7 linked regions of the Nothobranchius furzeri genome follow. The protein of the gene in region 1 purifies or fractionates together with the protein of each later gene. This does not show direct contact. Links are inferred from orthologs where the notes say so. Each region holds a gene or a part of one and is shown on either strand. Other genes may lie near its edges. The genes, in order: prpf19, sf3a1, snrpd1, snrpa, plrg1, ctnnbl1 and cwc15.

Region 1 (4,090 bases):
ATGGAAATATTACAGTAGATGATTCTAAGCTGACATGAACAATCTCATGTGCACCAGTTTGCACACTTTTAATTCTTGGGTTTGTACTGAGTTTTGAACCACGGGTTGAGCGTTACCCTTCATGTCACACATTGCACTATGGTGCTCATGAAATCTCCTGCTGTTACCTACCTCCAGACCCTCAGGACCAACATGATCTGCACTGTCTTTGCCGGGTGTCTCAAGTGTTCATTGGCCTTCTATGATCCCTAGGTCTGCATAAACGTCAACATAGTTACTCTAAGGTTTGCAAGAGAAAATTATTAAAATGCCACATTATTATAGCATAAACTAAAGTGCATAATCATCCTGTTCATTCCTGACTGCTGCAAAAAATATTATAAATATCTGTCTTGCAGTTAAAGTTATTTTGCAGGTGTAGTGTTATTACCCTCTAGACAATTGTAGAAATGTAACCTATTATAGGGCAACAGCCTGTAAATCTGGGAACATATTATAGCATCACTAATGTAATTCATTATTGACTATCAGAAGGTTGTCTCTAAAACAATAAAATGTATATTTAACACAAACGCCTCATATTATCTATTCTTTGACTATAGAGAAATCTGCTTGAGCATGGGTCTGCATTCTTTACAATCCAAACGGCCGTTTTTCTCTCAGTCCATCCCAATAATTGTTCAGAGCCTCAACTGTTAGAGGACGTTCAGGAAAAACGCCATTTATGATAAAAATCTATGTTGGAGGTTTAACGTAGAGGAAAGTTATCTTCTTTTTTTTTTTTTTTTTTTTGCTCAGATGTCTTGACATTAATGGGAGAATTCTGAGATTAAAGCAAGAAATATTTGTGCCTTCTTCAATAAGGAACTATTAGATTTGCTGTCATTTAAAAATATCCAACATTTGTTTCCATTAGTCAATTTTAAAATGATAAAAAAAATACTTTGGCAAACGTAGAATGGAGATTTTTCTCTGGGATGTTGATATTTGTGGAAAATTATGTCAAATGGTAATTGTAGTTTCATTTTGATGTGGATATTCAATGTAGTTATTCCATAAAACCCGAAAAGCTGCTTTAACCAACAATTTTTAATATGTCTATGTTAAAAATGTGCTTTTTAAAATAATTTTTATCTAAAGAGCCACTTGCACTGCTGGTTGCAGACCCCTGTAAGATTTTCAAGAGTGCAGTGGTGTGTTTTAAGCGGTGGAGGGCAGTGCAGACTGAAATGAGTGCGGTTTGATTGTTGGCGGAAACCAGCGACGAAGAAAAAGGAAGCAGTTCCTTTATAGCGGCAATGAAAGGACAGCGTGCTATCTCCAGTTTGAACTAAATATAAGTGTTCACAAGCGGGGGGAAATTCAAGACGCCAAAAAACACAGTCTACGTTTAGGAGGGCACTGTTAGGACTGCGTTTGGAACATGTCTTTGGTTTGTGCAAGTAAGTGAAGATGAAAATTTGCAGGACGGCGCCTGTGAGTTAGCTCGGTATCATGCTAATGCTACAAGCTAATGAAGCTAACATTAGCGGCCACGCAAACCGTATTTAACTTCAGTTTCCCTCCATTCTCTTTTTTTTCTTTGTTTTTACTGAGTTGTGAGCGTTATGCGCCCTCTCCTTTTGTTTGTTTGTAGTTTGCAACGAGGTGCCGGAGCACCCGTGCATCTCCCCGGTGTCCAATCATGTGTTTGAGCGGAGGCTGATAGAGAAGTACATCGCCGAGAATGGGACGGACCCGATGAACGGACAGCCGCTGTCCGAGGAGCAGCTAGTGGACATCAAAGGTGAACTACACCCTCGATTTGACTTTATTTAAGTTTGATTAACTTGATATTTTTGGACACTACGAATGAATTAATGAGTAAACGACGAGTTTGAAATTCGCATTGTATTAAAGCCTGTTTAACATGATAAACATGAAATGCTGAGTTATTCACACTGAAGTGGTTGTTTGGGACAGATTATTTAACCTAAGGCTAACCGATTATTAATCCAGGCATCAAAAGGGATCAAAATTAAAAATACAGTTTATTATAATAAAGGTAAATAACTAAACTTTTTGTCTTGCGTCGTTTTTAACTGAAATGATCATGGCCATCTGATCTTTCATTTATTTTATTTTTAATTGAGTCGTAATTTTAAAATAATGGTTTTAATTTATTATTAGTAACACTCTGATAAGTCTGGGCCTTTCAATAAACTGTACCAGTTCAATCCAGTTGCACACTGAAATAACATATTTAACTTAAAAAGGTTTGACTGAATTTTTCCTGGTTTGGAAAATGTCTTCCCGCTTAGTGACCCACCCCATCAGACCAAAGGCGCCATCAGCAACAAGCATCCCAGCTATTCTCAAGTCTCTTCAAGATGAGTGGGTGAGTGATGGAAACGGTCAGGAGGACACTCGTCCACCTCACACCTGTGTGTTATTGTTGACTATTTAGAACAGGAATCACCCTTTTATTTTTCACACAACAGCTGCTATTTGAACAAAAATAAATCTGAAAACTCGTCAAACACATAGATCAACATATGACACTTTTACGTAACTTTTGAAGTAATTTTGGGGTTTGTAAGCTCAAGTATTAAAGACATTGCTGTCATTTCTAATAAATTAATTTCAAATCTCAGGAAGAGTTGTTTTTTTTATGCGTCCTACAGGATGCCGTCATGCTTCACAGCTTCACCTTGCGGCAGCAACTGCAGACTACTCGCCAGGAACTCTCTCACGCCCTTTATCAACACGACGCAGCCTGCAGAGTCATCGCTCGACTCAACAAGGAGGTCACGGCTGCAAGAGAAGGTCTGTATGTCCTAAGAAGACACATCTTGGTGTTTCTAAAATGTTAATAGCCACTTGGCGTGTTATTTCAAAGGTTTATTTGTTAAATGGGAACATAAGCACGTTTAAAATGTCCTAAATGTGTTTATTTTGTTTTTGCAGCTCTGGCCACACTTAAACCTCAAGCTGGACTGGTGACCCCTCAGGCCGCCCCCGCCTCTCAGCCTGCTGCAGCAGTGAGTGACCCATGCCTAACTGTTTTAACCCTCAGCTCTTGGTAGTTTTAGTCCTCTTGTATAAAATATTCACATTTGTATTGCAGGGTGCTGGTGGAGAGCCTATGGAGATCAGTGAACAGGTGGGAATGACTCCAGAGATCATCCAGAAGGTAAAACACTTTTTTTATGTCCACAGAATTTTATTATTTTATTATAAGCTCATATTTCATTTTATTTAAACAATTTAATCTGTTTGATCATTCCAGCTGCAAGACAAGGCTACTATTCTCACCACAGAGAGGAAAAAGGTTTGTAGCATTTTTTCCTTGTTATAGTTATAACTTCCAACGGAAGGTAAAGTTTTTATATCTTGTGATTGTGTGTGATTTAAAAAGTTCCTTGTGCTTCTGTAGAGGGGAAAAACTGTTCCAGAGGAGCTGGTTAGAGCCGAGGATCTCAGCAAGTACCGCCAAGTGGCCTCCCACGCTGTAAGTGCAGAACCAGGATGATGAAGATGGTCCTATAAACGACTGAATGTGCTTCATCTGGTGGACTTGTTTCCTGTTTGCTTCAGGGTCTTCACAGCGCCAGTGTGCCTGGTATTCTGTCCCTGGACGTGTGTCCCTCAGACACCAGCAAAGTGCTCACTGGTACTCTGAGCTTAACTCTGTCCTATTTGATTTGGCGTTGTGTCGAATCACCCGCTCGGGGCCGATTTAGTCCAACGCTGACTGTGTTGTCGTCCTCCAGGTGGAGCTGATAAGAGTGTGGTGGTGTTTGACAAGAACGAGGAGCAGATTGTGGCGACTCTTAAAGGCCACACCAAAAAGGTCACCTCTGTCATTTTCCATCCATCTCAGGTGAGTCTTTGTCCGTTGGGGGTCTTTTATTGATAACTGAAGGAACGTGCCAGGTGTGATCCTTCTCTCTGACGTGTTCTCCCCTCTAGTCTATGGTCTTCTCTGCCTCTCCTGATGCCACCATCCGTGTGTGGTCTGTTACCGGGGGCAACTGCATCCAGGTGGTGCGTGCCCACGAAGCCAGCGTCACCGGTCTGTCCCTTCATGCTACTGGAGACTACCTGCTCA
Region 2 (3,981 bases), on another chromosome or scaffold:
ATCGAGCTCAGTCCGGCTCGGCCGTGAACGAGCCGAGGCGACATCCTGCTCTGCTTAAGAAGAGGTGTTATTTTCCGCTTCAGAAGAAGCGTCCGTGTTTTACGCTTTCTCAGAGACATGTCACGTTGCTAAGTTGTTAGCGCCGCGCGCTAACACGTCAATAGTGCAGCATAGCCTGCTGGAGGGTTCAGATGAAAACACCCTACCACTCAGGCTGCTTACACATCGATATTAAGTTGTCGCTGTTGCGCTCACGCCGTAATACAGTATTAGATGCGGTTAAAGTCAGACATGAAAAACTCCACGAGCGGTCAGACCGCGCAGCAGCTAGGCGCAGCAAATAGGCGCCGGATCGTCCAGGCTGCCCGGCCTGACCGCTGGGGATTACCGGATGGAAGAATGGACACAGAAGTCTCCCTCTTAGCGCTCCGTCATATTTCAACCCATTTTTATCTTAAATGCACTGGGTTTTACCCTATTACCCATCTAAATATGCCCTATTAATTATTTTACCGTATTTTACATTTAAATTTCATGGTTAAACAGTACATGCTACATGTTAAACTGATAGTTAGCTAGCTACTTCGGTAAACTCAGCTAGTTTAAAGGTAGCAGTGACATAAAATACGAATATAGATTTTAACTTACCGAAAAAAATGAAGTGGAGACTCCTTGGACGCTCTATTAGTGCAATTAATACCACTGCAAGTCATTTTGTCCAACAATTGCACCAATAATATCCAAAGAAGAATACACAAACACAGAGACTCAAAATGCCGGAGCAGTTTCCAAGCCAGACCGAGGCTGTACTGAGGCCTTTCCACGGAGCTAGCTCTGTGGTCACGTGGGTCTGAGGCGGCGGTCACGTGTGTTGGATGCTCATTAATTATACAGAATTTTAGGCTTTCAATACACTTAAACAGAAGAGTGAGAAAAAAATTCACCCCCCTCAGAGTTGTCATGAGTATAAACTAGATAATTTAGACAAAAAACATGTTTTGGCACCAGGCTGTAAACATGTTTATTTCTGCTGTGAAATCGGCATTTTTAACATGGGAGTCAATGAGGATTTGCTCGCTTCTGGCACCAGCCCCCAGCGGATGAGGGTGGAACTGCAATTTTTCTTACTTCCGGGATGGGACCATTTTCTGAGCGGCATTGTGGGGGCTTGGTTGCCACCCATGGCCTTTTGTTGGAATTATTTCGTTTTGGGTGGTAAAAGGCCGCAACAGAATCATTTGCATATCTTCACTGACCCCCGCATTTCCTGCACATCACAAGATGAAGTTTGGGAACAGAGAGAACAAGCTCAGAGACCTTTATGCTGACGTGTTCTAAACAGGAAATGCAGCACTGACGAGGATTAATAAAGCAACCAACGCTGTTTCTAATAAAGGCAAGTAAAACATGTCAGCTCAGTTTTTTCAACAATAAGGTTTTTATTTAGTCAGTTGCATCCACGTTGATCTGGTTTTTTACATGAAACTCCAAGGAATAAAACTGGCTTCATGTCTGCAGAGGTGCAGGTTCCTATTCAGACACATACATTACAAATGAGTTATAATAATCCCAACGGTGCATGATCTACTTCACATGAAACTCCTTTGTGTACATCCATACCCTGCAGGCATTTTGCTGAGCTCTTGTTTTCAATTTCTCAAGACTTTTGTGCAGAGTAGCATTTTCCTGTTCCATCACTTTTATACGAATTCTGTTTGCTTGAAGCTGTTGCTCCATATCCAAAATCAAGTTTCCTGTACCTAGAATGTAAATAAAGTCATGTGCTATTATTATACTGGAAATAAATCTAATCAAATATAATCAGATAATGTTATTCAGTAGCAACCTACTCTGAGGTTGGGCCTGGGACCAGTTGTTGAGCTCTGGGAAAGCCACCAGCAGTCTCTCCCTCTCCTTTAAAGAGTCCACACGCCTTGTCAGGTCAGCCACTTGCTTTTTCAACTCATCCGCATTTACTTCTAATGTCTGCTTCTCCTTCTGGAGCTCCTCACACAAATTCTGATGGAAGAACAAGAACAAAACAGACTTTATTATAACTAAGGCCATTTACAGTACAATTGTATTGCATTTTAGGCCACATATATACCTGCTGCTGCATGAGCTGAGCCTGCTGTTCCTCCACCTTTGACATCTGATTGTGTAAGGTGATCCGTTCCTCCTCTTTCTCTCCTAGCTCCCTCTGCAGCTCTTCGCACTCTTCATCGAGAGCATCAACTCTTTCCAGCAACGACTTTTGCTTTGCCAGCATTGACTGGATACACAATTATATTGAAAACAGTGTGAAGGATCCCCTTTATAGCTATGCTGGCCTTTACAGTGACACTGACCTCCTGCTGACGACAGGCGCTCCTGTACTTGGCCTTCTCCTTGTCAAGAAGAAATGTAGCATCAGAAACTTGAGTTTCTAGCTGTTGGATCTGTTCCTGCAGTCTGCAGCAGGCCTCTTTCTCTGTTTGCAGGTTCTTCACTTTCTCATGGAGTGCTTTCTTTTCAGTTTCTACCAGCAAATGAATCGTCATTATGCAGCATCATACTGTAGATGTGTTGAATGACAGAATCTGCATCTCATTACCAAGCACTTGTAAGCTGTCATGTTGCAGTGCTATTTTCTCCTTTAGTCTGTTATTAGTCTCCTCCAGGGACATATTTTCTGTCACAAAAATGTGAAAAATATTTATAGTAAAAACTATGATGTCAATACATTCTTGTTATAAAACCGATTGTGTTAACTACCTCTCTTCAGCTGTTGTTGCTCCTTTTGTAGCCTTTGCTCTGTTTCTTTTGAGGATCTCTGTGCTTTCCGTAGAGAAAACTCCAGCTGGACAGAGTTTATTTGGTGTTTTTCCAGCTCTTGCTTGAATTGTTTCTGTGCACTTTCCAGCTCAGATTTGAAACTGTCACGTTCCATTTCAGCTACGGCAATTCTTTCTTCAAGAGGCTGCACAGTACCCTGGACATCCTTAAGATGTTTGGTCAGCCGGCTCGTGTCCCGGAGCTGCTCTTCGGCCCACTGGGCTACATCGCCTGATGTCATGTCACCCACAATGTCCTCCATAGCTGCTGCGAGAGGCTGCAGAGATGAGGGCAAACCCTCACTCTGTAACAGATCTATCAATGCATCTCCCGTGTTTCTCAAAAGGGACTGCACCTGATGGCAAGCGCTGCAGGGAATAAGGGACGAACTTGTTGTCTGGCAGCTCACATGATGCTGCTCAGCTTTAGGATAGCATGGAGTGTTGTTAGTTTGTGGGACAAAATCAAATGAGCTTGCTGAAGACAAGGCAGATGCACAAAAGCTACTAAGTTCAGTCTTCGAGCTAGTTATAGCAGGGTTGGACAGCACCATATTTGTGTTGTTGGAGTCAAATGGCTTTGTATCTTTAAAGGGCTCCTGTGAAAAAGAAAGCATAAAAGTATCCAGATCTTTCATTTAAAATGCAATTTTTAGAGTATTTTGTATTTTCTAACATTAATACTACCTTTTTGTTGGCTGATAGGAGTAAATTCCCACAGTAGTTCTTGACCACGAGTCCAACTGACAAGTATGTTGTCTGCTGGGTTTGCTCTCCTCTCTGTCTGCCTCTCGGCACCTCATTGTAAACACTAACACTTTGTAGAAGTAGCAATAATCTTTTTAGAAAAGGAGAAAGGCAAATGTTAATAGAATTACTTTGGTAACAATGCATAACATATAAAACACATTTTATTACCTGTCAATCACTAATTCCAGTAAAACAATGTGGGAGTGCTGATTGAAGGCATCCTCTCCGTCTACATAGTCGTACTCCTCCAGCAGAGCCAACATGTCCACATTACAGGAGAGTTTGTCAGGGAACTTCCAAGAGGTAAAGCTGACCGGTCCTGTTCTGGAAAAGACGTCCACGATGGCTGCTTGGATGTCCGCCAGATCTTTTTGGAGGCTTTTGATGCAGTCTTGACTACCTAACAGCTCACTCATGA
Region 3 (3,840 bases), on another chromosome or scaffold:
ACACGCAACTCCACGCAGAAAGGCCGCAGCCGAGTTTCGAACCTGCAACCTTCTTGCTGCGAGGCAACAGTGCTAACAGCTGCGCCACCGTGCAGCCCACAAGTCGACGAAATTCATTTTATCATCTCTGAGCTGTTTACCTTCATTTTCAGTCACTTTAGGTTTATACGCTTTTAGCATATCGGCGTTCACACTACAGCATCGTTTGACTCGTATTTATTAGCTGCTTTAGAAATAAATCATTTATCATCACTTCCTTATTATAGTGAGGATCTTCTTTTGGTGTGTGTGCCTTCTTTAGTTTCTATTTGTTAACATTGTTTTTTAAACACGCTAAATCAAAGTTTAAAAGCCTAAAACATTTCATGGCGCAGCGGCCCGACGTTTAACCCCTTTATCTGAATGTTCACGTCCAGCTGACCTTTGATTTTATTTTGTTGGACGTGTGACTTCCTGTTTGAGCCCCGCTGTAACGTTTACAGGAGAATAAAACACGACTGCTGATCTGAAGATCGATTACTCAGTTGCTATGGTTAAGGTGGAGAGAAACCCCAAAAGGACATTATCTGTTTCCACATGAAAGATTTCCAGGAACACGTGCTCACCTGCTGTAATATTTCATGACTTCTGTTTTAAACCACTGCATAATTAGATTTTCTTTTCTAGAGTTCAACAGCAGATGCACTGAGTCGAGACTTTTTCTGCTCCAGAATATTAATAACGTGTTGCGTCAATCATGTGCAGGCAACACACAGAGAGGATGACGGTTTTATTTATTTTTATTATTATTAGAAGTGGAATAATGCTGAGTTTAATGGCCTTGTGCCGTTTTTCTTTTTGTGCTTCACACTTTATGATTTATTGGTCTCAGCCTACATCTTTGGAATAAAAAAAAGCACTCTCATTGATTATACTTGATACATTCCCAGCAGGTCTCAAGAAGACAGATTTGATGTGTGGCCAAATCTCTTAAGTATCGGTGCAGAGTTTACTCTTAATAAAATGAGCTGAAAGTGCTGCTTTGTGGTTTTATTCAACTGCGACAAGTTCTCTGAAGTTGTCTCCTGATCTGTTGAATGAATTAGGTCTTGATCAGTTAGGGTTAATTGTTGTGGATATTTTACCTTTTTTCATCTTCCAGATTTTGATAAATCAGTAAAAATGTAAATTTTACTACGACTTTAACACATGTTGCACATAAACACCGTTTTGACCTTTTGGTTGCAAATTCTGCAGATCACGAATCCAGCAGTAGGTAACGGTAGTGATCTTCCTAAATATTGATCATTTAGGGATCTTTGTTTTGGATATTTGACCTTTTAACTGCCAGATTCCAATAAATTAGTAGTAAAATAAAGATTGTGGATTTTAACACTACTGTAAAACATGTTGCACAGAAAAATAAAACAAAAGTGTTAGAACGGATCACAATTCCACCAGTAGATGGCGGTAATTACACCCCCTCGTCTTTGTTGTCGCCTTTTAGTGACGTCACATCCCTGAACGTTTCGAATACAACAGCGGCCTGTGTTTTCACTCGATCGCTGTAATTTTTGTCTTCGGTGGAGGATTTTTCTCTACTGTTTTCCATCATCATGAAACTAGTCAGGTAGGCGGCAGCGGGAGGTCCCGGATTAACCGGAGAATTAACGTAAACTGATCAAATGAAAGTGATGTGGCCGGATGGATTGGGATTTGATTAAACGGTGATGAGGCGGGAAGTGGAAAAATGTAATGGATCCTGAGCGACGTTACGGCGACCGCTGAGGGTTTAAAACACGTTCCTACGCACAGTTTTAATTATCAACATAGATGAACGTCTACTTTAAGTACATTTCTATTTCAATAAGTAAAAATATTAGGCTAGACGTTAACTCATTCAACCGTTGTAGCATTAGCTTGTCAATCAACTAAAGCGGCTCAAAATGGGGTTTTAACATAATTTGTTAGAGTTCATTTTGTAAATATTTAGTTTAGCTGTTAAACTGGTGGATAATCAGTGTTTTTATTGTTTCAAACGCTTTAAAAGTCACCTAATAGCCATCGGTGGCTAACTAGATAGCTAAAGCTAAGCTACTATCTAGCCTCTGCGAGAAATGTCCCAATTACGTTGTGATGTTTTCACTCAGTCATCGTGTGCAATGATGCCCACAGGTTTTTGATGAAGCTCAGCCATGAAACCGTAACCATTGAGCTGAAAAATGGCACCCAGGTTCACGGCACCATCACAGGTGAGCTCATAAAGGTGGTCAGATAAGCCAGGAGTCAGCTGAAGCTCTTTAATTTCAATACTAATGACATATATTTGTATGCATTAAGTAGATTAATACCCACAGCTGTGCTTTCATCCTCATAGTCAGACTTTAGTACAGATAAATCTGCACAATGTATGTTTTTGTATTATTTAATCCTATTTGATGGGATTTTTTTATGTTTAACAAACCCTAGACAAGCACACACACAACCTGCAAATTAAAATATTTTCTAATCTGTAAAATTAATCCTAAACTCAAGTGCCAGATGTACTTATGGCTGGTGTTTCATCCCTCCTCTCTGTTTTTCAGGTGTTGATGTGAGCATGAACACTCACCTGAAGGCGGTAAAAATGACCCTAAAAAACAGGGAGCCCACTCAGCTGGAGTCGCTGAGTATCCGCGGCAACAATATTCGCTACTTCATCCTCCCAGACAGCCTCCCTCTGGACACCTTGCTGGTTGACATCGAGCCAAAGATCAAGTCCAAGAAGAGAGAAGCAGGTGAGAAAGGTGAAAATGCATAAGATATGTTGAGTTGAATTTTATCTTAAGGTGTTTTTTTTAGAAAGTGAATCTGAATTCTCCTTTGCGTGAACAAAAAGGTTTTCACAGTGATGTAACTGGTGTGTTTGCACAGGTTTCTGCATGGGTTTATATTAAAAGAACTAAATTGTAACATTAACTGTACGACATAATTTAAGGAGTGGTTTAAAGGACCAGATGCTAAATGAGCAATATGGTGTTTGTGACACTTGTGCTGATGCTGCTCATCTGTCTCCTCAGTGGCTGGACGGGGACGAGGCAGGGGACGGGGACGTGGGAGAGGAAGGGGACGGGGACGAGGTGGACCAAGGAGATGATCGCAAGGCTGTTCTGTTGATTCCTAACACTTCACTGTTTGTACAGGATTTTTTTTTTCCTTTGCTTCATTAAAGCAGAAACGTTTTGTGAATTTCTGTGTGCTTTTTAGTTGGACTTTTTTTTTTGTACATTAAACTTCTGGTTAAGAGGACAAATTACTCTGACTTCTTTGTGTTGGTTTTTAATACTGAATAAAGTGTCAGCACATAAACTAGCATCATTAACTACTGTGTTGTCCCAATCAGATCCCAATGCTACTGGTGTACTAGCCAGCCCCACGCTTCCTTGTGTATAAAGTTACACAGATGAGTCTGGCAGGCCAGGCTCTAAAATAAAAATGTATTTTATGAAATTATTATTTAGTCATCAGACCTTTATCCCACTACAGTTGACAAAATAAAGCAAAACTGTTTATTTAGTCAACTTTTAGGTGCAGTTTCTCACATCAGTTGTGATAATTGGTAAAACTGCACATGTAGGTGGGGGAACGTTGTTTTACATTACACCGGGGACCAAAGTCACCGCTAGATGGCGGTGTAGGAAAAGTGACCTGGTAGATGGTAGCCTATAGGATGGCTTGCCGGGCTAACGTAGAGGTTCGTGGAATGACGTAAATCATTGCCCAAAGCTAGTTATTTTATATTAAACGATCATCTTTTAACATATTCGTCACATGTCGAAGGCACCAGGTTCTTTTCGAGCAGGAGTATTTTTATCACAATGT
Region 4 (3,857 bases), on another chromosome or scaffold:
CCGGCACATCTTAGAAAGGCCTCCTCACTGGAAACTTTTAAATCATCTTTAAAGACCCACCTTTTTAGCTTGGCTTTCAACACGTTTTGGATTTCTATTTGATTTGTGTTTTATTTTAGTGTGCTTTTAACCTTACACTGTATTCTATTTTATGCTTTTATGTTTTTATGTTCAGCACTTTGGTCAGCGAGGGCTGTTTTTAAAGTGCTTTATAAACAAAGTTGGCTTGGCTTGATTAAGCAAATGCAACTCTAAACTCAATTCCTTTCTTTGACATTTCAGACAGGAAATGTTGAGTTATCCTTTATGCTCAAACCTGTTCACACACACACACACACACACACACACACACACACACACACACACACACACACACACACACACACACACACACACACACACACACACACACACACACACACACACACACACACACACACACACACACACACACACACACACACACACACACACACACAGCGAAAGAAAGAACAGTCTAGTGTTTTACCAATTCAAATTTTAATCAAGATAAAAAAAAAAGAATAGCTCCAGGTACAATGTCTGGTGGACCAGACACTGGGTGCAATGCTTTAACAGTTTATAATAAAAAATTTAAACTATGAAACAGAAAAACAGAGAAGTGGACACCAAGTTGCGCAAGCATTACAGATTAAAGCCAAACCATTGCACAAAGTTAGAGCTCCCAGTTTTTCACTCCAACTTTCTTAACAGCAACTTGACTCAGATACTTACATGTACGGACATGTATGCAAATTAAATCAGGACCTGGTGGAAGATGCGTTATTTCTTGGCAAAAGAAATCTTCATGGCGTTCGTCTGAGTGATCTTAAAGCCCTGCAGAGCATCTCGTGCCGCGCCAGCCTGCACCTCGTTTTCAAACTCCACAAAGGCGATGTCGTGACGACCAGGAACAAGACGCACCTCTTTGAAGCCGGGAAACCTTTAACGCACAGAGCAGCTCAGTTACAATTACAGAAAAAACAGTTTGAGAGAATTAAATTCTCAGATTATTTGCAATGTTAGCATCACAAAACAGTCAAAGTTGATCCATTTTTACGCATCTGTTTAAATGTATGACTAGAAAATGAGTACTGACTGGTTGAAGAGCATGGACAGCATGAGTTCGTTCGTCTCCTCTGGCAGGTTGGTGAGAAAGAGAATGTGGTTGGGTGGATTTTCTGAAACCTGTGGGAAGAGAGTAAGGATTAAACTACCAGGACAGGAAACAAAACGTTCTGTGAGGAAAAAGAACACAAGCTACCTGCTGAGGCATCTGTCCTGGCATCATCTGACCAGGAGCAATCCCACCAGGAGGAATCTGGCCTGGAGCCATCCCAGGAGGAGGCATCATTCCAGGAGGGGGCATGTAAGGTGGCTGGCCTGGAATGTGCATCATGCGAGGAGCCTGGTTCATTGGTGGCATTCCCTAAAGAATGACAAACGTTTAGTTTCTATTCATGTTAATTGAGCTTTTAACTCTTAATGCATCTAAAACCTGCCGTTACTTCACTAACAAATATCTAGATTGTTTAACCATGATTGTAAAAAACACCTAGTGCACTCACTGGGATTGCAGAAGGTACCCCAGCAATCGCTGCAGCATTTTTTTTACTTCCTGTAGATTCAGGTTTGGGCTTCTTCTTTTCTTTTTTACGGTCACGCTCCACAAAAGTCCCCTTCATCTTAGCTATAATATCCGAATCCATTTTAGAGTACTGGATTCGCTGCAAGAAAGTATATATTTGAGTCACACGTGTACTTCCATCAGAAATGTCTAAATTGTGCATTATTAAACATGTTTAATAGACGTACCATAGGTTTATCATAGAAAGGAAAACCCTGCATGGACCTTAATGCATTAGAAGCGCTGTTAATCTCTTTAAAGATAACGAACGCCTGACCCTTCATCTTCAGGTTTCGTGCGACCAAAATGTCCAAAATTTGCCCAAACTGAGAGAAGATGGCATAAAGGGACTTCTTCAGCTCTGAGGGAGACACACAAACAACAAATAATCAATAACAATAATAAAGGAGACTTTGCATTAATTGTGCGTGAAATAAACAAAGAAAAGGAAAGAAAATGATGCGAAACTCACCATCTTTCTTTATCTTCTCGTTTAGGTTGTTGATGTAGATCGTGTGATTGGGGCGCACCTCTGCTGGAGTGGTCATGTTTAAGGCTAGGAGAATAAATAAAATAGCTAAAAATAAAATAAAGACTCAAACATGTGCTTATTTTCACGCAGTTTCAAGTCCAATTTCATTCAAAAATCCAGCATCTAAACGCAATGGTAACAAACATGGCGGAAGGCAACAACAGCGTGTTAGCTAAAAGCTAACTAACAGCATTTAGCGTCATTAATCTGCCTAAATACTTCTACTAGTTCCAACGTTACCTCAAATCGTTTAAGCTTGTCAAAAATATTTTAAATCAACAGTTAAAATGCACTTAACCATGTAAAACGCGTTAGATGTTGACGTAGTACCAACCTGAAATTGAATGAAAGCTCCGAGACTTTTTTCCCCAGAAAACAAGAGGAAGAAATTCTTCTTCTTTGTCTTATTTGTTGGTTACCAAACCGTTCTGGTGAATTACCGCCACCACACGGTGTAAATCAAAATAGCGAAACTCAAAACACCATTTAACTTACAATGGCTAAAACTAAAATGGTTTTTCTTCTTATTTACGCTGCTCTGGGTGGCTGCATGTTGGAGTAGCTCTGTTAACTATATGTAAGTTTAGCCTTTTCTTGGACATTTTTTCTTCTAGTTTCTCAAGAAAAACGGTATTTTTTTGGACACTTTACTTTTCTGTTTCTGGTGCTGTGAAGCTTGGAGGACTTTTGCTGCTATTGTTTAGGTTTTTTCACTTTTTGAGCATTTGTTATGATGCGTAACCATGGCAACAAGCTGGTTTACAATCGGGAGCAGCTGTTTAACATTGAAAAGGCTGAAATAATACCTCAACTGACGCGACAAATCCCAAATTAACTAAAACGCAAGAAGCGTGGGTGCAGAGCGGGAGCAAAACGGAGACAGAGAAAGAGGAAATTCAAACCATCTCTCCCATCGATCATAATGGGCAATGTGAGATCACTGGCCAACAAGATGGAGGAACTCCAAGCCCTTTCAAGGACTCAGTCAGAGTTTCGGCACTTTCTGAACCACTGGAGGAGATAATGCAAAGAAGGATTCTCCAGAGAATCAAGAAAATTATGGACAACCGTGAGCATTCTCTTCACAAGACTGTCCGACAACGGAAGAGTGTCTTCAGTCAGAGGCTTCTTCAGTTTCGCTGCAACACTACTGGAGATCCTTCCTGCCAACAGCCATTGTAATATACAATAACTCTTTGATGACTTGATTATTATTATTATTCTGAGATACTACAGCAATCAGTTTCCCCCTGGGATTAATAAAGTATTTTTGAATTGAATTGAACAGTAAATCAGAAATACTGGAAAAACATGACGTCAAAAAAAGGCAGAGTAGACAACCTAAGAAGAATAACAGTAACTTTACAATAAGGTACGTAAAATTATGCTTCGTAACTAGGGAACGACTTAGGGAGTAATGAGTAATGAAGCAGGGAAGAATAGGTAGTTAACCAATACATACTGGTGAAAACCCAACAGTTTTATTCAGGGACTAATCTTTGAACGCATTAAGGAACAAATCCCAAATGAATGTAGTGCCTGTGGACTTTTTTTTTTTGTAAACTTCATGAACAATGCAGATAATTTGCAACATCACAGTGATTTAACATCACTGTTTCATCTTGACTTCACACGTCTGTCACTTTTTTGTCCATTGTCGGCATCCGTCCATCGCAAGAT
Region 5 (4,184 bases), on another chromosome or scaffold:
GATGACCCTGAGCTAATCCAAACAACGTACCTTGTTGTACTCCAGATCCCAACACTTGACCTGTTTATCTTCTCCACAGGAGAAGAGGTACGGACTGCGGCTGCTCACTGCTACACCACGAACGGTACTGATGTGTCCAGTCAGAGACAACTTCAGCTTCCCACTGGCCAGGTCCCAGATCTGTAGAGACAACCACCTTCCAGTTATCTCTGGATCATCACAGAAGCTTTAACAGCAACAGAGCCACCTTGGTATCACTCCCAAACGTTTTAACCCTTACCTAACATTAAAGCATTTTTTTGTGCTCAAATGACATTAACGTTAGAAAATGTAAACGTTGGGTAAGGGTTAAATACTGAAAGGATTTCTTTTTAAAAAACTGTATTGCAATGTCTGCACCTACACAAAATACAACAACCTGAATGTTTTACCAGCTCTAGATCAATAACAGCTCTTTACAGAATAGGAAAAACTATTTGGTGGAGAAGATGAAGTCTAATAACAAATCTAGACAGGTTCAGTCCTCTGAGACTTGTTACCATTAGAGACAAAAAGTAGCTTAAACCTGTTAATAAAGAATATAAAAAGCAGTTTAAAACCCTAGACCATTACTGATCCCTCTATCAACAGAGCTTTACTGCTTATATGTATTTATGGAGAATGAATGAATGAATGTAATAACAAACACATAAAAGCTGGTGTTTTACTCAGCCCGCCCGACCTTTATAGTTCTGTCTGCTGACCCCGTGACGAACCACTGATTTCCCGGTTCCACGGCGATGGATCTCACCCAGCCGAGGTGTCCGCTGATAACCTGACAGATAACGGTCACCACAGTTAAACAAGGCAGCTTCTAATTATTAATGTTGTAAACAAATGCAAGACAACTTGTGAAACAGTTGTTACGAACCCGAAACAGTTTCCACGGTGGATGCCACTGAGGTTTGGGCATTGTTGGAGCTCTCCTTATGAGCGCTGAGTTTCTGGTGCCACCTCCATCTAAGAGAGACTAAAAGATATACTTCAAAAGGTCATTAAGGATTTTTTTTAAGTAGCATGAAAGACTTATGAGTAGAAATAAACTGGCCAACTGAACGACACATTCATTAGCATTATAATGTAATTTTTATATTGTAAAATTAGTTTTGTATGTTTGTGAAGCATTCTGTCTTGCAACACTGTTCTGCTTACAGAATTTGATGCGACACTACCAGAATGAATAAGCAACATAAAAGTTCCATGGTGTTAAAGTTAGCTGAGCTCGCTATTTGTTTTTTAATTTATTTTCAAATTAGTGATTTTCTACTGCAGAAAAGAAACCCAATCTCTACTGGATTATTAGCTTTACACGTCTTTTTAAGACTCTATAAGCACTAACAAGCATTCTGGAAAAGTAAATTCACTGTGGTTTACCACTGCAGTGGACGGAGGGTGAATTCTCTCTGCTACTCCTGCATGTCTATGGATCTCTGCAACGCTGGCTGCAGTGCGACTGGCGTCCTGCCTGAAAGTACATGACATAGAGTATGTCAGAATATTTATTTTAACCATAGATCTGTATGCCAAATTGTTACCAGCATGGATTAAAAATAAATAATAGCCTACCTTGCTAGTGAGGGTGGTAAAGCCAGTGTCAAGGAGTGCACCGCTCCTTCACTGGGATTCCTGTGGATTTTAGTGTCGGCGGTGAGTGCCACACCTGTGGAGCACAAGCTACTGTTAGCACAAAATTAAAAGTAGTGCGGATTCCTAAAGTAGCAGAAAACAAATCTACCTGGTCCAGATGGATAAGCATTGGTCCCGGTAATCAGGTATTCTGGATCATCGCCTAAATAGTTTTAACAGAGTGAAAACATTATTAACTTTGGCTTAATCGCTCAAAAGAAGTTAAACAATCTATGTGATCCATAAAACTATGCAATATTTATTTTGACGGTTAACTAAGAAACAGTCACAGTGTGTTGCTCCCTTACCTAGCTGTGGGTAGCTCTGATGGCTGAGCATGCCGTCAGGATGATGTGAGACTCTTTCTCTGCCCTCCTTTAGGATGGGCATGTGTAAAACTGGTCCATACTCTGTCTTTAGTTTCACACCCATCTTCTGTTTGTGACTGCAAACACAGTCATTCATATACATGTTATACCGCCAAAATGTAAATGTTATCTAATTGAGCAACAACTCTAAACACCGTAAAAAATAGTTTCCTCAGAAAATATAAGCTGAGCAAACATCCATGTTTCTTCACTGAACGTTAAGCAAAAAACGTATCCCGGCGCATTAGAAAACATTAGTGAGGTTTGATCTGTAAATATTTACAAACACACTTTGGAAGCAGCCTGGGTTACCTTTCGTCATCCAGAGCGATAGCTTTAGCATGGTCGGCTACGAACATGTCATGCGTCCTTTTCAGCGATCTGAAGACCAATGTGTGGACAGAGTGCTTCTGGACATCCTGTAAAAAGCGAGAATTTTATTTAAAAAACATCGCATATAACAACCTAATAAAAAGTTATTTCTCACTCAATAAACAGTGAAACGGGCAGAAAAAGGCTATCAATTCCAGTAAATAGACAGGCCCGGGAGTGTGTTGGACGTTTCCTAACATCCTAGCGGACACAAAAGACATACATGAATGTATAAATCCATACCTCCGTCATTTTATAGAGGAATATACCGATAGAACAAAACTGAGGAGGAAATAAAGGTCTGCCTCGGTAAGTACAACTTGGTAGTAAAATAAATCCTCCTGACCACCACGACAAACCGAACGTTTGAGATAACCCGGAAGTAAACACGACCAAGAGTTGTTAAAGTTATATCAGCGCCACCTACCGGTTTGGATGATTCAACCACTTTTCCTGTTCATCATCAAGGGCTAAAATGTGACAGTTCAACGTATGAATAAAGCATAAAATTATTATTTAAATGTTTAATTGTTATTAAGGATATTTTCTATCAAATGACCCACCATGCTAGTTATGAGATATCTAAACTGCAGCTGTTACACACCTGCTTTAGACTCTATCAAAACCTGGATGGTGGGAGCTTTCTTCAGCTGAATGAAGATAAGACTGAGATCCTCATCTGTGCCCCAGACAAGCTGGTTCCCAAAGTCAAAGACTCTCTTGGTCAGCTTGCTTCTCACACCAAACCTTCTGTCAGGAATCTTGGCGTGACCTTTGACCCAGCTCTCACCCTGGATTCTCATGTCAGTTCTGTCATGCTCTGAACTTCAGATTTCATCCACACCTTCGTCTCCTCATGCTTGTCCTGCAACATGCTTTTCACTTGTCTGGCTTTGCGTGACCTCATGATCACCCTATTCTTCCTCAATAGCTTCTTTTCAAGCTGGTGTTTCTGTTAATTCTATCTTTTTCAGGATCCAACGATAAGCTTCGATCTTTTTAAATAATAGAAAAAATGTTTTTTGTCATTTTTATTTTTATATGAACCACCTCGTGATTTTTTAATTGAGAGGTGCAATATAAAATTGTTATTATTATTATTATTATCAAAAATAAAAACAATAATAACATAATTTGGATTGACAAGGTTGACAGATTAAATTAATTCATGATGCACAGTAACACAGAAATACAACCAATTAAAATTTATGTCAACTGATGTTAAAAGATTTAAATAATAATTAACGTTCTAATGCATTTGAAAATAGTCCGTAGAGAAACAGATAAAGTAAATTGAATTTGGTAGGAGCAGTCCTGAAAATCACGTTTCATACCAATACACTCAAGTGTTTATTTGCAGAGTCATACAGCTCAATTTTCTGAGCTAAAAACCCCACATTTTATTTTTTACATGGCACTGGAATTTACTGCGAGTCAGATGAAGTTTGAACTCAACCATAGCTTTCTGAGGTGAATGTAATGATGCATCAGTACAAATACTACCAGAACAAAACTCAGAGTAGATCATTTGTTCAATTGTGAGCACAAAATAAACAACCAGCCTGACTTCTTATTAACTCCTAAGTGTAAGTTCTTATTCAGAGCTGGAACATTTGAGAATATAATCTCTGTTCCTTCTGAAAAATGGCTAACTGTGAGGGAAAGTGGAGGTTTGCATTTGTAAGATTACACCAAATAAATTAGATAATGAGAAAGGTTTAGAAGTGGGACAAACAAATTAAACAGCCAAGTTATTAAAAGAAATTGATTCCATGTAAA
Region 6 (4,222 bases), on another chromosome or scaffold:
CATGAAAGTTTCTATCCAATATTTCACAGTTTTACACTTTCAATTCAATTCAATTCAATTTTATTTACAAAGCGCCAAATCACGACAAGAGTCGTCTCAGGGTATTTCACATAATAAACATTCCAATTCTGGTCAGTTCATTAAGTCAATCAGAACAAAGTTTCCTATACAAGAAACCGAGCAAATTGCACGCATTTGCACTTAACTTGCTATCTTGAGACACCATCTTCATTATGTGATCGGTGTCATCTTTGAAAAAAAAAAAGTAAAACAATAGTTGAGTAACAACTTATTGCATTGTTCATAAACTGAGCTATTAAGCATTTAGATTACTCGTGTTTGCTTTGATTTCCTTTCCCTCTCTCCCCTTGCCCCTCGTGCGGTTGGACGTCAAGCTTCAGTGCTTGGCAGTGGCCTTCCTTTTGAATGTTGTCTCTATTGCTCTACTGTCACAGATCACTGGCCAGAGACTGGAGAGGCAACAGAGGCGTCGACACTGCTCTCCACTCAGACATTTCACAATGTTTCTCACTGAAGGGGTGATTTTCTGCTTGTCTGGAACAGTAAGAGATCCGGGCATATAAATGTCTGCGGTTATGAATGCAGCAAAATTGAGCCCATTGGACCAGAACTTCATACATGTGGCTTTGAGGAGGATTGGTAAGGAGCTCATATTGTTATTAAGTCAGCACAAAGGTAGCATAGTTATGATGCACAGACATTGATTTCTGAGCTTATTAGTTCATGCACATGTAAAGATATTAAAATAATAAGCAGGCTGGTGTCAATTTCTGATACTTCATTGTATTGTATTTTTAGTGTGCAATAAAATAAGCAAAAAGCAGATGTGCTGATTTTAGAGTCAGACAATTACCAAATTGATCCTAAGCGATAACCATTTGGCTGGCATAACAACCATATGTTTGAATTAACATTACATCTTTCATAATTATTATCTAGATAATAATCTTATTTTTAGATTGTTTGGTACAATCTTACATTGATTTACTTTGTAATATAACCCTTTTAGATACAGAGGAATAAAAAAAGCTAATTATTATTACAGTTCCATATTAATTGCTTGGTTTATGTTTACGTATTTGGCAGACGCTTTTGTCCAAAGCGACTTGCGGGTGACAATCAAGCCAGCAGGTTGCCCTGGAGGCCTTGGAAAAACATTTCTGACACACGAATTTATTGTTTTACTTTTACAAAAAAACAAGAGCTAGTTTTATACCAAAGGTTCATTCACTCATTCTCTCATTCTCTCTCTCTCTCTCTCTCTCTCACACACACACACACACACACACACACACACACACACACACACACACACACACACACACACACACACACACACACACACACACACACACACACACGCCCCGCAGGAAGAAACTGTGGAGGCTTCTGCTTTACGACAGTGTTTCTTTTCATACGGCAGGCCAGCATTTTACGGCACAGCGCCGGCATGTTCAGATTTTGTTGTTAGCTAAAAGCCAATCGTGCAGGGTTCTTTTCTTAATTCCAAGTGCATTTATCTTACGGTGAAGTGATCTAATCTGAACAAATGGACGTCGGGGAGCTTCTGAACTATCAGGTATGTATTTTTTTCAAGCAGTCAACGCAGGGAACGCTCTTTCTGTAATCTCTTAACTGTTGGCATGCATGTAGCAACACAGCCTTGCTAAAAGTTACCAATAAAATCCAGAAAGCTGATTAGTTTCTTATTTATTTATGTGTGGAGATCTACGAGTCTGTAAATTACCCATTCCTTGCGCTTCCATGGTAATGGAGCAGTTTAGCTTTTCTCATCGAAGAAAAACGTGACAGTTAGCTTGTTAGCTAATGAAGGCTAAGGATCGTCAGTTTATGTTTGCGTGGTTATTTTTGCCTCCCCTGGCTTTCCTAATGGATGCCTTTGTCTAGAGTAGTGTTTACGTCTATGTTTTTTTGTTTTTGTCCACAAAGAACAATAAAATAATCACTTATGACACTTTGTACTAACATGCAATCCTCTGCATCAGCTCTCTGTTTTTATTAACAGTTTTATTGTTATATTTGTGTCTTATTGTAAAATAGTTTGTGATTTTTATCCCTAAAATATTCCTGAAAACGCTTGTTTATTTTTAGAGACAGCAAAACGACCTGATACAAAGGAGTTTCATATAATAGTGTCAAGCATCACCCGAGAGAAGGAGCGGAGCTAGCTTTCTTTTAAATTTATTTCACATTAATTGAAAATAAGAAGTATTTTAATGGCTTTCTTCGTTTTTTGCAGAGAAATATATTTTAAGGAAAGTAGCTATTCCAAAATAAGATGGTTAAATGTATGGGTCACATATTTATTGTAACTAAATGGTGAATTACAGTTTGGCAATGTAACCATTAACCTGATTAAATTGATTGTTTACATTTGTTTATTATATAATTTTACATATTATGTTGTCATTTAGTATGGTATAAGTTTTCTGATAAGTAAAAACCAATTAGACAAAAGAAAATACATTTTCAGAAATCCTGTTCAGCCCAGATACATTTTCTTTGTTTTATTTTTTGACCAAAGTTTGTAGTTTTGTTTTAATTTAAACAATGTGAGACTCACTCCACTCACTTTCACCTTATATCCATTTATTTTCATCTTTTAGCCTGATAGAGGAGCCAAGCGCCTGAGGAACGGTGATGGAGGCGCAGGAGAAGACGACAACTCCAGAGGAGGGAAGCAGCTGAAAGGTCTGGGAGCGAGGGAGCTAGCTAGATACAGGGAGGCTGAAGGAGGAGCGGAGATGAGAGAAACTGAAGAAATAACTGAAGACCGAAAGATGATCTTGGAAAAACTGATGGATCAGGATGGGGAAGAACCTGAGGTGGGTAAAGGTCCTTTTCGTTAAGGGTGTGTACTTAAGTGAAGCGAAGCATGATTTATTACATTGTTTGTGTTAATCTGCCTAAACTGAACGCTTCATCCGTTTTCTTGCAGCAAATTTAGAATTATTAAGATAATAGCAAATTAGTAATCTAACCATTATATTGTTAGGGTTAATGCACCAGAATTAGACAGAGCAGAAATAATCGTTCTATCCATAGTTTATTGAACGTCTTAGATATTTTTGTAGTTTAATAATTAATATTAAGTAAATTCACTTTAAATTAATAATCCTTGTTGATAAAAACTAACCAGAGGATACTAAATTCCTGCTAGTGCAGTTATTATGTATCCTTAAATATAATTTCTACTTGTTTATATCTTTCTTTTACAATTTCACCAGTAAGAATATTATTTGGACATGGATAAATTATATTGCTGTATTATGTAGAACTGGACTTACAAAGAGGGGTTGTTGATTAAATGTTAAAATGGCCTGCCATACTGGCTTATTGTAGACAGGGAATTGTACAAAATTACTAAATGAACTGTCGTTCACTGTATTGTTCACTGTTCTAATATTACTGTTAAATCCCTTCAGTCACTAACATATTCTAATTATTTGTCTGCCTGATGATCTCAGACATGACAACATGTAGGAGATGTTGCAGCTTTTTTTTCTTGCCAGCTCTTCAGGTGGACGAGCCGTCGTGCTAAATTTCTCCTTTAGCAGCTTTGAGAATTTAAACTATTTCCTCACAGGAGACTTCAAGTGTTTCTCATGTGGAAAGGAAGCAGTCCCGGTGGTTCCTGAAGCTGGTTCTGCTGCGTGCGTCAGTTCAGTTTCACTTTTGTTTTGGTCCGTTAATGTCTTATTTATTTTTGGTGTTGGAGACGTCTTTATGGTGGGTTAACTGCAGCATTTCACGGCTAATCACTGCAACCCTGCAGGTCAAAGCCACGCCCTATCGTAGCCTCAGTACATCTATCATTGCCCTGAACAGTTTTGTGTCGAGCCAATCACAGAGCTCTACGTTTGTTAGGTGGGCTTAGAGCTGGAGCTGCGATGGAGAAAAACAACAAAGATGGCGCTGGCCGCTGGCTAGGGAACAGTGCTCGTTTGAAACAGCCTTGGCATCAACTTTGGACAATTTAGACTTGAGCCTTTCTTTGAGACTCGACAAGATGGATGTACTTAAAGAGACAATGTGTAGTTTTTACCATTCATTTCTGGAAGTATCCATCAAAATGTTGTTAAAGATAAATATAATGATGCCCAGTTGTTGACAAATATTGGCAGCTTTGTAACAACTTCCTGATGTAAGAGGCGAGTCTCCTCTTTGTTTTGTTAGTTTT
Region 7 (3,831 bases), on another chromosome or scaffold:
AATATTTACACTTTGGTCCGTGGGTTTTTCAAAGTCACCGTCTGAGCGTTCATTCTTATCACATGTTATGAGGTCAGATATGTAAAGGTAAGGGAAGTCAGCAATATTTTCACTTTATCTCTTCATCTTTGTATTTATCTGAATGAGGACAACTTTCAAACAAACTTTGTCAGTAGGTTAGGGTTCAAAATAGGGATGCACAATATATTGGCATTAATATCGGTATTGGTCCGATACATTAAACTGGGCCAATATTAACTGATAATTTTTCCATCTTGTTTTCATTTGTTTATCTGTTTCAGAGGGTGAGGGAGGTGATGTGTAATTGTTTAGTCATGTGACAGTGATTGCAATCATCTAACAGTGTAAACATGTGTGGTGTGTGTACATAACGTCAATTCAGCTTTAATCTTTACAAATCTGTTGATCTTAGAAGCATTAATGTCAGTATATCGGTATTGGCAAACATCGGTTATCGGCCATAACAGCGATATATCAGATATTGGTATCAGCCCCAAAGTTTCATATCGGTGCATTGCACTGAAGATTTCTGTTTATTCAACTTTTCAGGAATATTTATGAGCTTCAGGTAAAAAAAATGTCATAGCAGGAGGTCAGAAAATAATGAAATGCAAACCTGAACCATGATCGCATACAAGACTAAACTGTGACCTTCTTTCATCGAAGGATTGCGTAATTATACCAGTCACTATGGTGTCATGTTGTGAGGTAAGTGTCTAACCCACGACTTACAGAATCAGTTCACAGACTACGGTCGGTTTTAAACAATAAATTAATGGAGAAAACAAGGGAGCAGCATAAATGTAGCTGAGATCTTCAACAGGAGTCGGGTGCAGGAATCTGCAGACAGATGGAGGTTAGATCCAGCTTGAAAAGGGCAACAGGGACTTTAGAAAACTGGGGAAGCACTAAGATTGGTCTGTAATTATCATACTGTAGTAAACAAGATTTGTGGTTTTCTTAATTTGAACACTACATTTTATTGACCTTGTAAACATCCATCCATCCATCCATTGTCTGAACCCGCTTTGTCCACGTAGGGTTGCGGTGGGCTGGTGCCTATCTCCAGCGGTCAATGGGCAATCAGGCGGGATATACCCTGGACAGAAAGCCAGTCCATCGCAGGGCAACACAGAGACACACAGGACAAACAATCATGCACGCACACACACACACACACACACACACACACGCACACACACACACACACACACACACACACACACACACACCTAAGGACTGTGGGAGGAAGCCGGAGTACCCGGAGAGAACCCACGCATGCACAGGGAGAACATGCAAACTCCATGCAGAAAGATCTCAGGCTGGGAAGTGAACCCAAGGCAACAGCTCTAACCACTGCGCAGCCGACCTCGTAAACAATACAAGTAAAATAGGTTCTTGGAGTCCTGTCATGCCGGTCAAAATATGCACGATTTTTCTCCGATTGTTCCTGAACGCGTCTAGTTCCGGAAGTGACGCACCGTTGTGTACAGGAACGTTTCCTTTTCACTTTTGGAAGCAGCTTCGTAAGTGTTGTTGCTTTAAAAACGTATTTAAATTGTGTTGTTTATTTTAAGCTTTGTGTTTCAAACATGTTTACTCTCGTAATTATCTTGCATTGGGTTTTAAAAATAGGAAATGTTCCTTAAATTGCATTGTCACCCACGTTAGCCTGTTAGCAACTGATTAGCGGTGGAAGCTATCAAGCTAACTTGTGTTTTAAACAACATTTAGGAGGAAACTGATCGTTAAAGGTTTTAACTCATATTAACATTAGACTTATTATGATGTATATCTAAAATTACTTATTGTAATTTATGAATTGGTCAGTTATTTTCTGCTTTACGTTTTGCCAGAGCACGGCCATCAAAGATGACTACAGCTGCAAGACCAACATTTGAGCCGGCGAGAGGGGGTAGAGGAAAAGGAGAAGGGGATTTGAGTGCTCTTTCTAAGCAGTATTCCAGTCGGGATCTTCCAGGTCACACCAAGATCAAATACAGGTCAGAACAGTGGGTTCCAGTTTCTCAACCTTAAATATTTATTCGAACTACTTAAACTGTGTTTCTTTCATCTCAATTAAAAGGCAGCCTACCCAGGATGCCCCTGAGGAAGTGCGTGCCCGTGATTTTCGCCGAGAGCTGGAGGAGAGGGAGCGTGTAGCTGCTCGTGAGAAGACCAGAGAGAGGGGACCAAGAGGTGGATTTTTCTACTCATAATAAAGATTAGATCCAAAAAGGATGTATGCAACGGTTTCTGGCATAGTTCCTTTAATCTGTATTGTGTTGATTTTATTTCTTCAGAGCACACCACATCATCTTCTTCATCATCATCATCTTCAAAAAGGCCCAGACTGGATCAGATCCCAGCAGCCAACCTTGATGCCGATGACCCTCTCACTGATGTAAGGATTTACATTGCAATACATCCCAGACTTACACTGGATAAAGTTATTAATCCATTTTTACATTACAGGATGACGAAGACGAGAACTCAGATGAAGAAAGTGATGATGACGACACTGCAGCCCTGCTGGCTGAACTTGAAAAAATTAAGAAAGAGCGAGCTGAAGAGCAAGAACGCAAAGTAAAGAGTTTTAAGTTTGTGTTTGCTTTGGCTATAAATGAAAAGTGATGTTATAGAGGATGGCTTAACCTCCGTGTGCTTTTCTTTTGTTATTTAGGAAAGAGAGCAGAAGGCAGAGGAAGAGAGGATTCGAATGGAAAATATTTTGAGTGGAAATCCATTGATAAATTTAGCAGGACAGCAACAGCAGCAGCAGCAACAACAGCAACAGAGCCAAACTCAGAACACATTCAGAGTCAAGAGAAGGTATTTCTTATGTTCACTTGTTACAGCAAGAATGTTGGTTTTTTGTTTGTTTGCATTTGGAAAAACAAATATATTCCTTCACCACCACTAATAATTCTGATGTACTTCTAGGTGGGATGATGACGTAGTGTTCAAAAACTGCGCCAAAGGAGTGGATGAGGCGCGGAAAGAGAAACGTTTTGTCAACGACACGCTGCGCTCTGAGTTCCACAAGAAATTTATGGAGAAATATGTAAAGTAGAGGACTTTGTGTGTGTGTTTCATTTGATCTTTTTTAATTGAAAATGTTTTAGTTTCAAGCATTTTAATTGCAGCTGGCATTTATTTACAGTCTAACTAATTGGAAACCGTACTGTCTGCAGGTCAGTTGCTGTTTGCGTAAATCATGAAAGTTTGAAGCACATTTCAGAATGTGATTTCAGTATTTCTGTCATGCATTTTTCATTATTTGAATAAACATTGACTTTTTTCCCTTGAATTACTTTGCATAATTTCACAGAAATAACAGATTGTGCATTTTTTAATTTTAAAGGGTAAATTAACTTAAAAAGTTAAGTTTTATAAAAAATGCTAGGGGTGGGGTGCCTAAAATCAGCACAGAAATGGGTATGAAGAGTGTTGCTTTTCATTTAACCCTCCACTCCCTAGTGCTTTTTTTGTGCAAAAGGTAATGGGTTTTGCAAAAGTTCAAGGATGTGGCGAGGGTTAAAAGATACTTTGTAACTTGTTCATATTTTTAGATAATTTTCTTGAGCCAGTATGTGCTAAAATAACCCTTCACAGTGTTAATGAAATGCCACCCAGCCCCTATCGCCCCCTGTGGCCAAAATATCCCACTTGCAGCTTCACAGTTGCTGGTCTGATCTGTTGAACTTAGAAGAACTTGAGCTGACATACCTGGCGCTGCAGTCTAGTTCCAGCAAGTTTCCTGCATGGTTTAGATCATGAACACAGCTGATTTGTTTCATTTAGTGATGA

Evidence for each region.
Region 2: the proteins of prpf19 (region 1) and sf3a1 fractionate together in Homo sapiens (co-fractionation; 3 studies listed by BioGRID and IntAct, with this or other methods). This does not show direct contact. The link is inferred for Nothobranchius furzeri from reciprocal best matches to the Homo sapiens genes PRPF19 and SF3A1.
Region 3: the proteins of prpf19 (region 1) and snrpd1 fractionate together in Homo sapiens (co-fractionation; 3 studies listed by BioGRID). This does not show direct contact. The link is inferred for Nothobranchius furzeri from reciprocal best matches to the Homo sapiens genes PRPF19 and SNRPD1.
Region 4: the proteins of prpf19 (region 1) and snrpa fractionate together in Homo sapiens (co-fractionation; 3 studies listed by BioGRID and IntAct, with this or other methods). This does not show direct contact. The link is inferred for Nothobranchius furzeri from reciprocal best matches to the Homo sapiens genes PRPF19 and SNRPA.
Region 5: the proteins of prpf19 (region 1) and plrg1 purify together in Homo sapiens (affinity purification with mass spectrometry; 8 studies listed by BioGRID and IntAct, counting the BioPlex papers as one, with this or other methods). This does not show direct contact. The link is inferred for Nothobranchius furzeri from reciprocal best matches to the Homo sapiens genes PRPF19 and PLRG1.
Region 6: the proteins of prpf19 (region 1) and ctnnbl1 purify together in Homo sapiens (affinity purification with mass spectrometry; 4 studies listed by BioGRID and IntAct, counting the BioPlex papers as one, with this or other methods). This does not show direct contact. The link is inferred for Nothobranchius furzeri from reciprocal best matches to the Homo sapiens genes PRPF19 and CTNNBL1.
Region 7: the proteins of prpf19 (region 1) and cwc15 purify together in Homo sapiens (co-immunoprecipitation; 4 studies listed by BioGRID and IntAct, with this or other methods). This does not show direct contact. The link is inferred for Nothobranchius furzeri from reciprocal best matches to the Homo sapiens genes PRPF19 and CWC15.

The regions. Positions count from the first base shown.
Region 1 is NC_091741.1:94,861,653-94,865,742, reverse strand, and holds the start of prpf19 (pre-mRNA-processing factor 19), read left to right. Parts: upstream 1-1,290; 5' UTR 1,291-1,423; coding exon 1,424-1,442; intron 1,443-1,636; coding exon 1,637-1,786; intron 1,787-2,300; coding exon 2,301-2,377; intron 2,378-2,663; coding exon 2,664-2,805; intron 2,806-2,946; coding exon 2,947-3,020; intron 3,021-3,106; coding exon 3,107-3,172; intron 3,173-3,268; coding exon 3,269-3,310; intron 3,311-3,415; coding exon 3,416-3,490; intron 3,491-3,576; coding exon 3,577-3,652; intron 3,653-3,752; coding exon 3,753-3,862; intron 3,863-3,951; coding exon 3,952-4,090. UniProt on the Homo sapiens protein: Ubiquitin-protein ligase which is a core component of several complexes mainly involved pre-mRNA splicing and DNA repair. Required for pre-mRNA splicing as component of the spliceosome.
Region 2 is NC_091757.1:36,509,583-36,513,563, forward strand, and holds the start of sf3a1 (splicing factor 3A subunit 1), read left to right. Parts: upstream 1-1,181; 5' UTR 1,182-1,396; intron 1,397-1,415; exon of another isoform or gene 1,416-1,506; coding exon of another isoform or gene 1,507-1,530; exon of another isoform or gene 1,531-1,584; coding exon of another isoform or gene 1,585-1,760; intron 1,761-1,850; coding exon of another isoform or gene 1,851-2,019; intron 2,020-2,107; coding exon of another isoform or gene 2,108-2,272; intron 2,273-2,348; coding exon of another isoform or gene 2,349-2,518; intron 2,519-2,593; coding exon of another isoform or gene 2,594-2,671; intron 2,672-2,754; coding exon of another isoform or gene 2,755-3,412; intron 3,413-3,500; coding exon of another isoform or gene 3,501-3,651; intron 3,652-3,731; coding exon of another isoform or gene 3,732-3,979; exon of another isoform or gene 3,980-3,981. Other genes in the region: ccdc157 (coiled-coil domain-containing protein 157), read right to left, coding at 1,585-1,760, 1,851-2,019, 2,108-2,272, 2,349-2,518, 2,594-2,671, 2,755-3,412, 3,501-3,651, 3,732-3,979. UniProt on the Homo sapiens protein: Component of the 17S U2 SnRNP complex of the spliceosome, a large ribonucleoprotein complex that removes introns from transcribed pre-mRNAs.
Region 3 is NC_091759.1:18,894,640-18,898,479, reverse strand, and holds snrpd1 (small nuclear ribonucleoprotein Sm D1), read left to right. Parts: upstream 1-1,471; 5' UTR 1,472-1,595; coding exon 1,596-1,609; intron 1,610-2,154; coding exon 2,155-2,231; intron 2,232-2,564; coding exon 2,565-2,765; intron 2,766-3,038; coding exon 3,039-3,115; 3' UTR 3,116-3,340; downstream 3,341-3,840. Other genes in the region: gamma-glutamylcyclotransferase, read left to right, coding at 3,837-3,840. UniProt on the Homo sapiens protein: Plays a role in pre-mRNA splicing as a core component of the spliceosomal U1, U2, U4 and U5 small nuclear ribonucleoproteins (snRNPs), the building blocks of the spliceosome.
Region 4 is NC_091753.1:42,104,708-42,108,564, forward strand, and holds snrpa (U1 small nuclear ribonucleoprotein A), read right to left. Parts: upstream 2,639-3,857; 5' UTR 2,512-2,638; intron 2,202-2,511; 5' UTR 2,194-2,201; coding exon 2,118-2,193; intron 2,007-2,117; coding exon 1,834-2,006; intron 1,746-1,833; coding exon 1,587-1,745; intron 1,448-1,586; coding exon 1,283-1,447; intron 1,207-1,282; coding exon 1,118-1,206; intron 962-1,117; coding exon 802-961; 3' UTR 501-801; downstream 1-500. UniProt on the Homo sapiens protein: Component of the spliceosomal U1 snRNP, which is essential for recognition of the pre-mRNA 5' splice-site and the subsequent assembly of the spliceosome. U1 snRNP is the first snRNP to interact with pre-mRNA.
Region 5 is NC_091744.1:17,230,025-17,234,208, forward strand, and holds the start of plrg1 (pleiotropic regulator 1), read right to left. Parts: upstream 2,801-4,184; 5' UTR 2,658-2,800; coding exon 2,649-2,657; intron 2,453-2,648; coding exon 2,346-2,452; intron 2,111-2,345; coding exon 1,974-2,110; intron 1,829-1,973; coding exon 1,775-1,828; intron 1,700-1,774; coding exon 1,606-1,699; intron 1,505-1,605; coding exon 1,414-1,504; intron 1,010-1,413; coding exon 911-1,009; intron 815-910; coding exon 722-814; intron 181-721; coding exon 31-180; intron 1-30. UniProt on the Homo sapiens protein: Involved in pre-mRNA splicing as component of the spliceosome. Component of the PRP19-CDC5L complex that forms an integral part of the spliceosome and is required for activating pre-mRNA splicing.
Region 6 is NC_091755.1:51,817,520-51,821,741, reverse strand, and holds the start of ctnnbl1 (beta-catenin-like protein 1), read left to right. Parts: upstream 1-1,422; 5' UTR 1,423-1,570; coding exon 1,571-1,600; intron 1,601-2,648; coding exon 2,649-2,867; intron 2,868-4,222. UniProt on the Homo sapiens protein: Component of the PRP19-CDC5L complex that forms an integral part of the spliceosome and is required for activating pre-mRNA splicing.
Region 7 is NC_091750.1:48,553,361-48,557,191, forward strand, and holds cwc15 (protein CWC15 homolog), read left to right. Parts: upstream 1-1,396; 5' UTR 1,397-1,547; intron 1,548-1,632; exon of another isoform or gene 1,633-1,775; intron 1,776-1,877; 5' UTR 1,878-1,893; coding exon 1,894-2,024; intron 2,025-2,107; coding exon 2,108-2,220; intron 2,221-2,324; coding exon 2,325-2,425; intron 2,426-2,496; coding exon 2,497-2,607; intron 2,608-2,704; coding exon 2,705-2,853; intron 2,854-2,964; coding exon 2,965-3,094; 3' UTR 3,095-3,331; downstream 3,332-3,831. UniProt on the Homo sapiens protein: Involved in pre-mRNA splicing as component of the spliceosome. Component of the PRP19-CDC5L complex that forms an integral part of the spliceosome and is required for activating pre-mRNA splicing.